2 linked regions of the Drosophila melanogaster genome follow. The protein of the gene in region 2 purifies or fractionates together with the protein of the main gene of each other region. This does not show direct contact. Each region holds a gene or a part of one and is shown on either strand. Other genes may lie near its edges.

Region 1 (6,544 bases), on a different chromosome or scaffold from region 2:
TAGTCGAAATATTTTGCAAAAACTATATGTACTTGTGGCCAGCTGTCTCTCGAATTTCGGATATAAGTACTCTTAATTATTCGGCGAATCTGATATATTTGACAGATTTCAATGGGTGACGAGCAATAATTTCTTGGTGCATGAAATTCGACGTGCTGTGGCACATTAGAAACAGATAAGCGACAGCAAATTTTCGTTTTCCAGCCCAGTTTTCCTTCGTCTTTCTAGCTACGCCCCCACCCCTTCGGAAATCCCTTTGGCAGCCACCCCTTTCGGATAGATTGTGTTTTACGTTGCTCGCATTCCTAGCCTAATGCTGGAATTTCAATTTTAAAGACTAACTTGATTACCAGATGGGGTGGGGCGGCGCAAGGAGCAGGGTAGTTCCCCATTGTCTCTCGCATGAGTTGGCCCAAAGTTACTCGCAAGGATCAAAGTGACATAAGTTTGCCGTTCGCTGCCGACTTCGGCTACAGATTTGGCTTTGGCTTTGGATTCATCTTCGGCTCCAATTTATCTAATGCCAGCTAAAGTTTTTAATGTAATTAAAATGGCTAAAGCCTAAAGAGTGTTTAAAACCGGCAGATATCGCAGCTTTAAGGGGATTCCCCCACGCGGCATTGGTTATCTAGCACACACACACACGTACAGATTTAGACACACACGTGCGCGTTGTGCCATAAAGTGCTCAAGTTACTTGCGAGGATTACCAGTCGCACCCCAGAAGGCGCCGCCCATTCCTACTTGCCAGGCGATCCTCAAGCTGGACAACGCGGCGTATGCGTCATGCGAAAGCAATGCCCGGCAGCAGCAAGGAGTTTTTAACATTTTCCAAATGCTGCAACGTTGATTTTGCCTATTTTTTTCTCGCTCCTTCGACCAACGAACGAGAATTTCCCACTACACACAAGGACGCAGGACGAAGGCGGAGGGAGCCAGGACGAAGGACCCTGGACCGGTTGGGTGGCACAGGATGTGCGGACGGTCGCACAGATGAGGCGGAAGCACGGACAAACAAACGGATAAGAAGGCGTAGGGCCACGAAGGACGAAGGACGAGGAGTTGCTGTAGTTGTAGCTGGAGCCCAAGAACGAAGCGCACATGGAAGATAAGCGCACAGAGTGTGGCGCTGATAACGCAGGTCCTGCTGCCGCCTGTGGGCCGCAACTAGAGGGATGGAAATCGGGGGGTGACATGCCGGGAGGTCCTGTGAATTTTAACATTTTAGAGAAAATACGAACGACGAGAGCTTCGAGCGACGAGCTAGAAGTCTGAAGCGAATTGCGCGAACTACGGGTGTGGGATGTGGATGTGGATGAAATCGGGTGTGTATGTATGTAAGTACAGTCAAGCCTCGTTCAGTGCATTCTTGTGAGCTAATTCAAGGGAAATAAATTTATATTTACAACATTTTAATTTGTTGGTAAACAGTAAAGAACTGAGAAGAAATCAAAACATAAACACAAGTTTTACAATTAGCGAACATCGAACATGCTTAATAGGTATCCAAGCATACATTACACAAAGCGGGTTGATGTTAGTATAGTTTGACTGTGCCAGCATAGCTGGAACGAAACAATTTGTAATTTATTTGCGAAGCGTGCGATGTGCTCCGGCTCTGTGCGAAAAGTTGAGGCAGCTGCCAAAGGCGTAGCCATCGACCAGAGACAGTGGCTCCAGCTCCGGCTCCAGCTCCAGCTCGAGCACCATCTCCTGTTCCCGTTTTCCGTGCATCTGAAACCGAAACTCTGGCAGAAGCGCTGCTCTGATCTGAGGCCCAAAAACTGGAGGCCGGGAGCACGCGTAAGCAGATACTCTGATACAGATACAGATGGTGCTCGGGCTGCGCCCCCCCCCCCCCCCCTTTCGGAACACACTCACACACAGAAGGGAGGATGGGGGAAAGGCGATGCGTGGGTGGTCCTGGGTCCTGGGGAAACGGTGGATGTACTGGCATCCAGCCGGGGTGGTTCTCGCTGCTGCCTTGCTCTTTAAAGACCTTTAAAGTTTAAGCCGAATGTCAGCCATAAAAAGAATCAAAAATAAAACTTGGCAACAAAAGTTTAGCAAGTTGGATAAGCCCAAATAAAAAATATTAAATTGAACTCATCTTAGGGCGGGAGAGAAGACAACGACTCCTTGGAATAGCATTTTCGAAATTTATTTAATGTATTTTATAATGCTTTAAAAGTTTACGCTTTACAATTGGAATTCAAGTTTTAACTATCCGTGTTGTCGTGTGAGTGCGGCTTTAATTGCGTTTGCTTAAGTTTTGTCTTTGTCTTTGTCGTTGCTGTTGATTAATGCTCAACTGGCCAAGCATTTGGAATACAAACTGTTCATATTAATTGTACATGTTTACGATAATCCAAATTGAAGTTTGTCTATTGGAAGTTGTTTCTTGACTACAGTCGGCAGTTTCGAGTGGGTGTGTGTTAGTGTTCATGTGTGGCTAAATAATCTATCTCAAAATACAAATATCAAGCACTTTATAAACCATTATATCTGTTATCCAATATTAAATACAATCGTTCATATCAAAATTCATGTTTTTCATTGTTTGCTAAGTAATTATTGCTATGGTGGAAGAGCGTTTAAGCTCTGCTAAGTACAAAATTCTCTTTTTGCGAGTTCGAGTATTCGTCTATTGTTTGCTGGCTGTGAGGCTATCTCGGGTGTAAACCAAAAGGAAAATCGGATTCGGGCTGGGTGCGTGTGCGGACCTCTCTATATCTGGTTGGTAACGCTTAATCAGTCTTGTATACAAACAAATTAAAATTAGCAAATTGTCTACAACCAAGCTACGTGGCTCTCTTCTCGCTACACTTCGTTGTCAAGCAGCATTTTCTAGTCAAAAAAAAAAGGGCAGTTTATAATAGTTACACAAACCATGGGGGATGGGCGCTGCTAGTGGAACATTGAGATTAACTTGCACTTAGTTAAACCATATTTTAATTCGACACTTACAAAACAAATGATATCTTTGTTGAACATGTACACGGCGGTTATACATAGTTACCTTTGCATCAATAAATTAGGAATTAGAGTAGCAGAATTAAATTACAACTAAAATTACGATACGAGACAGAGATATTCAGGGAACTCATGCATCGCTATTTACAGGGTCTAGCGCATTTTAAAATGGGATTTGGAGAGCGTCGTGTAAATGCAATCGACTCGCCGTCGCTTCGCTTTGCTTTGCCATCTTGGCCTGGGCTGGAAGTCATGAACTAGTGGGGGCTTGGCTTTCGGGGCTTTAAACGTGGCCTAATACTTGGTAACTTAAATGGATTTCGATTTACAATTGTTATCGCCAGGGGCCTAACACTTAGAATTTACAACTTGTAACAGGGGAGCGGGAACCGTGGCGTAGAATATTGGGGAGCTGGGGGCGAGGAGGCCTTGTATCCCTCCTCTAACTCCGGCTGTCGTTGCTCTCGCTGAAGCTCTGCTCACTGGATTCGCGTCGGCTGCTCACCGGCTTGGCCTTGTACTCTGTGATGAACACGGTCACCGAGTTGACCGTCACCTCTCGCGTCTGTGCCGTCGATCGGTCCACGTTTTTCAACCGTGCCGGATACCGCTTGTGCCTCTGCCGGTCGTGCCCACTGCCATGCCGTGATCCGGAGGCGGACTTCCCGTTGGGCATGTTGACACTGGCTCCTGGCAAAGTGGCGGCCTGCTGGGCGACTAGCGCTGAGTTCAGGCGTGGCTTTCGCGTGGAGGTTCCTAAAAAACAAGGGTGTATAGTCTTATTGAGCGCACCAAAAATAGTATATAAATAGTTTAAAATTGTTTCAATTAGCATGTTTATCGTTTCGAGAAGTATTCCCGGTTTCTGCGCAGTGTGAATTTATTTATTCTACGTAAGCAAATCGATACCATCGTTGGCCATCTAATCAACAGTCAACAGTCTTTTTTTGACTATTACTATCTACAGTTCAACCAGATATATTCCAATATTGTTAATACCGATGTGTGTGTATCCTTGTAGAAGGATAAACAAACCGATCCATGACACATGATCAAGAAAGCGAAAATCGGAACATGGCTGGCAATCTGCTCAATCTTGGAACTCGGAAGCGAAAACGAAGCAAAATCGGGGTCACTTACCTTTCCGCACGTCGCACATGCGACACTTGAAGGCCTCCGCCGAGTTTCTATATGTGCAGACGCTGCAGTCCCAGAAGTTCTCCTCGATCACCTTCGCCTGCCGCTTTTGTCGTCGCACCGGCGAGGATTTCTTGTCCATAATACAGGAGGAGAGGAGGAACGCCTGGGCGCCGCTGGAGTAACCGCAATCCAATCGAATCGGACCAAAACGAATCCAATGAAAATGCCCGACTTTTCCCTCTGCCACCGCCTCTGCCTCTGCCCGCCCCTCTGCTGATCCGCTGCTGCTGCTGGCCGTGTTCCTGTGATGTTTGGTTGCTCTGCTCGCACCTTTGCCACGCTCACGCACACACGGTGGCCTCAGTGGAGATTCGCTGCGCTTTTGGCACGCATTTGTTGCTTAATTGGAGCGTTTTCGGTGGCTTTTTGTTGTGAAAAAAACTTTCTGCAATTGTCTTTTTGGCTGCGGCAACATTGCCATATCGTAGAAGTGCTCAATGCCAGGCTATCGATATTTCGATAGTAGCGCGCAGCCAGTGTTGGCTAGCGTATGGTGCTGATCTGGCAACTCACTTTTCGATTGGGCGCCAAACTACGTTTATTTTGAAATGTGGCTTGTCATTGTTTTGTGTTTGCATTTTATTGTGAAGCTTACGCCCACGCTTTTATTTTTCTAGCCAGCCAAAGGCCAGCTGCTTCAGCAACAATGGGAAGGTAAGCGGTTTTGCTTATGTTTACTATAGTGGTGCTTATGGGTAAAGAAGAATTTGGGAAACTTATTAAATTGTTTTTAAGCTACCTCACATATGCTTAAATGACCAATGATGATTCTTTTTGACGCCTTGCGCTCTAGCCAATGGCCTATGTACATACAACCTTAATTTAGCCGCTGGCAAGCATCAGCTGCGTTGTGTTTACTTATAACTTGTATCTGTTCTGTCTGTCTAGCCCCCAGATCACGTTTTATCTTGGCAGTCTTATCATCGGTTCATCCCCTTTGGATTGTAGGCTCCCAGGAAGGTGTTACACTTGCGACAATAGTGGTTTCCAGTGCGGCAACTGTTCATGCAATAGGGAACAAAACAGGCACAGCAGCAGAATCTTTAAAGAGGATGAGACATGAAATATATAAATTTAAGATAAATCAATAAGCAGATAAACTCTACTCCTTTTTATAAGAAACTCAACTTACCCGACCAAACAGAGGAGACCTGCCACCATATGGGTCCTGGAGTTAGCCGTGTGTGTCATCCTCGTAGTTTTGTTGGCTCCACAGGCTGGGCAGAGAACCCTACTTCGATTTGGACCCAAGTGTAGAGTATCTGCAACAGCAGGGAGTGACGTCAGTAGAGCTTCACAGCCGAACTATAACTATGTGCAAACTACACACCTGTTGGAACCACTGTGGGTGGTTGTGGGGCTGGCTGCTCCACGACAACCACTGGCGGTGGTCGTGCTGGGGCGATTGCTGGTGCGGAAACCGCTGGAGCCACCGGAACAGACACCGCCACATCGTACGACGGAGGAGCCTCGATGGGCAGGCCGTTGGCGATGGGATTGCCCAACTCCCTCGTTGGCGTCGGCGAGGGGGCCGTCGGGGCGTTGAAATCCACTTGCGGATAAAGCATGGCTCGCTTCTGATCCATGGTTAACGCACTATAAAACCCTTGCTCTAGTGCGAAGTTCGGGTATGGTTTCGACTTATTAAAATGACTAAGAGATTCTGGTTCTCGCTAAGCGAAAAAAAAAAGTTGTTTACTTTGCGTATTTACAACTAGACGGCGTCTTTTGCACTTCGAACGCCGCTCGCAACTGCCAGCGAATTTGGATCCAGGTAGAGATTCAGTTTCAGTTTTTTTTCGGCTCAGATCGGAGCGAGCTTGGAAAAGCTCCCATCCGGTTGAGCAATCAGTTTTGGGGCTGTTGCAAAACCGAAAGTATCTCTCGAATACTGTTTACCGAGCTTTATCTAGTGCACACAATGATCTTCATTGTTTATCGAACTTATCTCAGGTACGGGAATAGGATGTCCGATAAAGATACAGATAGCCACTTCAGCATAGTCAGTAATTAGTTAGGCTTTTGGCAAATAAAGCTGATATATAGGATTCCAAGGGCGTAATAGTCAGCAGAGTATAATTTAACATTAAGCAAAAAAGCTTTCAGCAATTAAATCGAAAAAATTACTGAATAACTTAACCAAGAATGGCCTAATAATTGAAGTTAAAAAACCAGTTTACTTTGGTTTTTAAGAGCAAATTTAAAATTAAATATTTAGGTCATCAATAATATTATACTTATTTGAAAACTGGGTTAATTTCGCTAACACAAAATAGTAATTCTATGCCACTTTAAAGCTCTTAAAGCGTCACTTGTAATGACGAAATACTTCGCTTTAGTTCAGTTTGCGTGCTGCAGTCCATTTATTAAC
Region 2 (4,995 bases):
CTTCGCCAACGTGATGGTCAATATGGGTGAGCGCATGGGGCTCGGCTGGTTCCTGTACACCTCGAATCCCTTCCTGTGGTCCGGCATGGGCATCTTCCTCGCCTGCGCCCTGTCCGTTCTGGGCGCCGCCAGTGGAATCTACATGATTGGATGCAGTGTGGCGGGCGGCGGAGTGCGATCGCCTCGCATCAAGACCAAGAACCTGATCTCAGTCATCTTTTGCGAGGCGGTGGCCATCTATGGCCTGATCACGGCCATCCTGCTGTCCGGCAACGTCAACAAGTTCAGCAGCGTGCGTCTGATCACCGACAGCACGGTCATGGCGACCAATATGTTTACGGGATTCGCTACTTTTGGGGCAGGTCTCTGCGTTGGAATGGTGAACGTGGCCTGCGGCATTGCTGTGGGCATCGTGGGATCCGGCGCTGCCCTGGCGGATGCGGCCAACTCGGCGCTCTTCGTCAAGATCCTCATTGTGGAGATTTTTGGCTCGGCTATCGGACTGTTTGGCCTGATTGTGGCCATCTACATGACCTCCAAGGCGGAAACCATTAATTAGACCATTATATAAACGCGACTTAATTGAAAAGCTAACATTTATTTGGTAATTAAAGCTATTCTTCCCCATCATCGTAATCGCTGTCATCAGCTTCATCATTGTGACCCTCCTCGTCGTCGTCTTCCTCGTCCCAGTGCTTGATCTTCTTGTTGGTCATGAAGTCCTCGCGCAGCACACTCCATTCGGACTTCTTTTTGCCGCTGGAGCCCTTGTCTTCGTCGTCGTCATCCGTTTCTTGTTCCTCTTTCTTTACAGCGTTATCTACGGGTGTGGATTTGGCGCGCTTCCCGCTCATCAGGACGTCCAAAAACTTTCGCTTGTTGATGTTGTTTAGCACCGCATCCTGTCGGCTGTCCAGCGGACCCGCTTCCTCCAGCTGCTGCTGCAGATCCTTCTGCTGAATGCGCACGGCATTAAAGAACTGCACCACTCCACGAGTGGCAACTTTGCGGAGCGTTCGTTCACGCTCCATGTCCCGGAAACTGGGCTTCACACGCAGCTGGAGGGGCACATTCTTACGCTGCTGTTTGGTTAGCGTGGCATCCAAGGCAGAGGCCTGCGGCTTCTCGTCTTCATGGTTATCGCCTTCGTCCTCCTCCTTGACATCTGCTTTCTCGATCTCGAAATCGAATCCTGGCTTTTTGTTGGCGGCGTCTTTCTGGAATCGCACAGCCGCCTGGCTTTTTTTGGCTCGAGCTAGCACGGTTTTTTTTTGGGTCTTCGGCTTGGTGGTCTTCAGGACCTTCTGAATGGAATCCGCCCAGCCGGCGTTGCCCTCCGCTTCGCTGGCTGAATTCTGGCTGCCCTCGGAATCGGATTCCTCCGGAGAACTGTCGCTCGCAGGAGCATGTGTCTTTTTAACACGCTTCTCAGTCAAAAGAGCCATATTTTGCAAGCAGGCAAGTGGATCCAACTTTAAAAACAAAACAAGCGTGTTTATCACGTTTTTAGAGATGGCAAGTGGAAACTACAGGTAGCACTATCGGCAAAACTATTAGCAACTATATTGAAAAAAACTGAAAAACTAAAACTATAACTTTGATAATTATATATATATATATATACATATATATATATATATATATATATATATATATATATATATATATATGAATTAAAGCAAATATAAATATATGAATTAAAGCAAATTTTCGAATATGCTTTAATGGAAATAATATTAAATTTATTTCATATTCATTAAATTCCTTGTTAATCTATTATACAACACTAGGAATTGCTTGCACAGGCGTACCGGAATCGATACTGTCATCTCTAACACAGTTGAGGCGCCAACATCTGGTCACACTGATCTTGCCGCTGCTTTTGGACTCAACTTTATTTATTTGCAAAAATGGACCTGAACACTCTGCTGCAGCGCGCCCAGAACCTGAACAATGACGCGAAGGCAGAGTGCGAGCTGCCCGCCGTGGAGCGGACGCTTCAGCAGGTCCTGCGGGCCACCACGGAGCTCCACTCCCGCGTCACCCAAACCGGCTGCAAAGAGATCCAGGCGTGAGTAAACAATACTGAATTAAAGTGAACCATAATCGATATGAACCTCATTCACCAGTCACATACTGCTGGGCTCCAAGGGCGTGGACCTGCCCAAGCTGAACCAGAAGCTGGAGGCGCTGAGTGCCCGGAAAACCTTCGAGCCGCTAGACGTAAAGGCGGACACGGATGTGCGCACATTCCTGAAGAACGAACGCGAGAATGCAATTCTCTCGGTGATCGAGGACACGAAAAAGAATGTAAGTAATGAACCATATAGTCAAAACATTGTTGACTTCTCCCATACTCGCAGATCAGCGACTCTGCGAACAAGCAGAGGTGGGCCAGTATGAACAAAGTATGGAACGAGGAGAAGACCCGCCTGCTGGACGCCTTAATTGCGCCGTCACAGAACTTTATCGACCTACAACGGCTGCCGGAACCCACCATCGTAAATCCGCTTTGTCAGCCACGTTCCTGCCTCGATCCGCTGGAACTAGTGTATGCGCAAGAGTTGCGGCATTACAATGAACTGCTGCTTAAGAGCAGCCATCGACCCAATCTCGTCCAAAAGTTCGCTCATCTGTCCCAGAGCTTCGGAGATTGCCGGCTTACGGACATGTGGACCCTGCTGGCTTGCGTCACCCAAATCAGCGAGCCGCTGCGCAGTGACCCCATCAAGAGCCGACAGCAAAGACCGGAGTTTGTTACCTATGCTAAATCGTACCTAGAACGGCGCTATCGTGTGTTCATGTGCTCCCAAGTCGGTGGATCCTATGCCAACAACAGCTATCAGTTGGTTGTGGCCTATGTAAACCACCGGTTCAGAGCACAGCAGACCATCGGACTTGTGGACACCGTCCGCGAAATACCCTTATGGCCGCTGGTTTACTACGGATTGCGCTGCGGAGCGGTTAAGGTGGCGGTTGAGTTCCTGCGCGAAGCGGGCAGTAGCCACGATGAGTTTGCCCAGCTCGTTGCAGATCGCAATGCCGGCGAAACCAATTCCAAAATAGAAAACCAACTGCGACTGCAGTACGCCAACAAAATACGCAACTCCACCGATGCCTATAAGAAGGCCGTTTACTGCATCCTTTTGGGCTGCGATGTCAATGAAGTACACGGAGAAGTGGCCAAGACCATAGACGACTTCCTTTGGATGCGGCTGGCCATGATACAGCCCGGTGACGCTGACAACTATGGTAAACTGCAGTCAATGATTTTGGAACAGTATGGTGAAAAGTACTTCAATGCTAGGCAGCAGCCGTATCTCTACTTCGAGACCCTTGCATTAACCGGCCAGTTTGAAGCCGCCATCGAGTTCCTGGCGCGCCAAGATGAAAATCGGGCACATGCAGTTCACATGGCCATAGCGCTGTTTGAGCTAGGACTTCTAGGCAGTGCGCGCAGTGTGTCGCAGCCCCTGCTTTCGATCGATATTAAAGATCCGCAGCCACTGAGGCGCTTGAACCTAACTCGGCTTATCCGACAGTATGTGCAGCGATTTGAGCGGACAGACACCTCGGAGGCGCTGCATTACTACTACACACTGCGCTGTCTGAAGGATTCCAAGGGCCGGAACATGTTTATGGCCTGTGTGTGCGATCTTGTGGTGGACAGCGGAGTCTTTGATACCACCATTTTCGATCTGATATTCGGCAAGCGGCAGTCGAGTGACCAAAACGATGTTAACAGGTGATTATATGCAATGTTACATTTATTCAGTCAGTCTAAAGTCTAGTCTCTTGTGTTTTTAGTGGACTCTTCCGCCAGTTCGAATGCCCGGAGTTCGACACGCGCACCATGGCCGCTCAGGTGGGCGACGAACTGGCTGCGCTGGGTAACTTTGAGATGTCGGCGCGGCTGTACGAAATGGCGGGCAAGTACAACCTGGCCGTGAAGCACATCTGCATTCTGATGGCCCAGGTGGTGCACCTGCCCACGCTAGGTGGATCGTTAAGGGAACGCCTTGGCCAAGACGCTCAGAGATTCAACCAGCTGCTGGCTAGCGACAGCATCGATGTGGAACCCAAGATGAAGAGCAGCTTTGTGCTGCTGCAGGATCTGCTTATCTTCTTCAACTTCTATCATGACGGAAAATTTAATGCAGCGTTGGATCTGCTCAGGCAAACCCAGTTGGTGCCCAATACGTTGGACGATGTCGATGTTGTACTGGGCAATGTGAAGCAACTTAGCGGCGAGGTAATCAAGGTCCTGCCCGACGTTATAGTGGCCGCCATGGAGATCGCCCAGAAGCAGTACAAGCAGCTGAAGGCAGGATCAGGCAGCTCGCTGGAACAGACCCAGATGCAGCAACTCCGGCAGCGAGCCAAAGCCCTGTCCAACATGGCAGCAACTATGCCGTATCGCCTGCCCAACGACACGAACAAGCGACTGATTGAACTCGAACTGGATATGCACTAAAATAAATATACTTTAAGGGATAAAGGGAAGCAATAGTCTACTTCATTAGCATGAATATGTGCTCCTCCTCCTCCCCCTCCTCATCATCATCACTGTCTGTCTCCTCTTGCCTTCTTTCCTCAAGTTGCTGAATGCGAAGATGAGCTGCTGCCAATTGCTGTTGGAGATCAAGGCAATTGGCGCATGGATTATTATGAGGCTTACTCTCCTTAAAGCTTTCCTCGTCAATGCCAGAATCCTCGCTCTTGAAACTGATATTACTTCTATTAGCACATGATTTCATACTTTTGATGCTCTTTCCGAGGGGATCCTCCTCCTCCGTTCCTAAGTGGAACTCTGGAATGGCGTCCTTTCTAAGGTTTCCCTTGTTTGGCAGATAAGTCCGGCGAAAGTGTCTGCCGCAAATAAACAGCCACTTGTTGTCCACCGTAAGCCGACATATTTCCATCCATGCCTTGCGCATTTCGGGATTCGAGGGAAAGAAGTGCAGTCGTTCTGGAGGAGATCGTGAGGAGCAGTTC

The links.
Region 1: the proteins of Nup93-2 (region 2) and RYBP purify together in Drosophila melanogaster (affinity purification with western blotting, with the first as the bait; one study listed by BioGRID). This does not show direct contact.

The regions. Positions count from the first base shown.
Region 1 is NT_033778.4:22,668,815-22,675,358, reverse strand, and holds RYBP (ring and YY1 binding protein), read right to left. Parts: upstream 4,773-6,544; 5' UTR 4,253-4,772; coding exon 4,114-4,252; intron 3,730-4,113; coding exon 3,416-3,729; 3' UTR 2,147-3,415; downstream 1-2,146. Other genes in the region: CG13516 (uncharacterized protein), read right to left, coding at 5,094-5,214, 5,306-5,435, 5,504-5,759.
Region 2 is NT_033777.3:14,895,203-14,900,197, reverse strand, and holds Nup93-2 (nucleoporin 93kD-2), read left to right. Parts: upstream 1-1,825; 5' UTR 1,826-1,910; coding exon 1,911-2,071; intron 2,072-2,129; coding exon 2,130-2,310; intron 2,311-2,363; coding exon 2,364-3,745; intron 3,746-3,751; exon of another isoform or gene 3,752-3,807; coding exon 3,808-4,474; 3' UTR 4,475-4,495; downstream 4,496-4,995. Other genes in the region: VhaPPA1-2 (vacuolar H[+] ATPase PPA1 subunit 2), read left to right, coding at 1-559; CG3817 (uncharacterized protein), read right to left, coding at 615-1,445; CG14860 (uncharacterized protein), read right to left, coding at 4,512-4,995.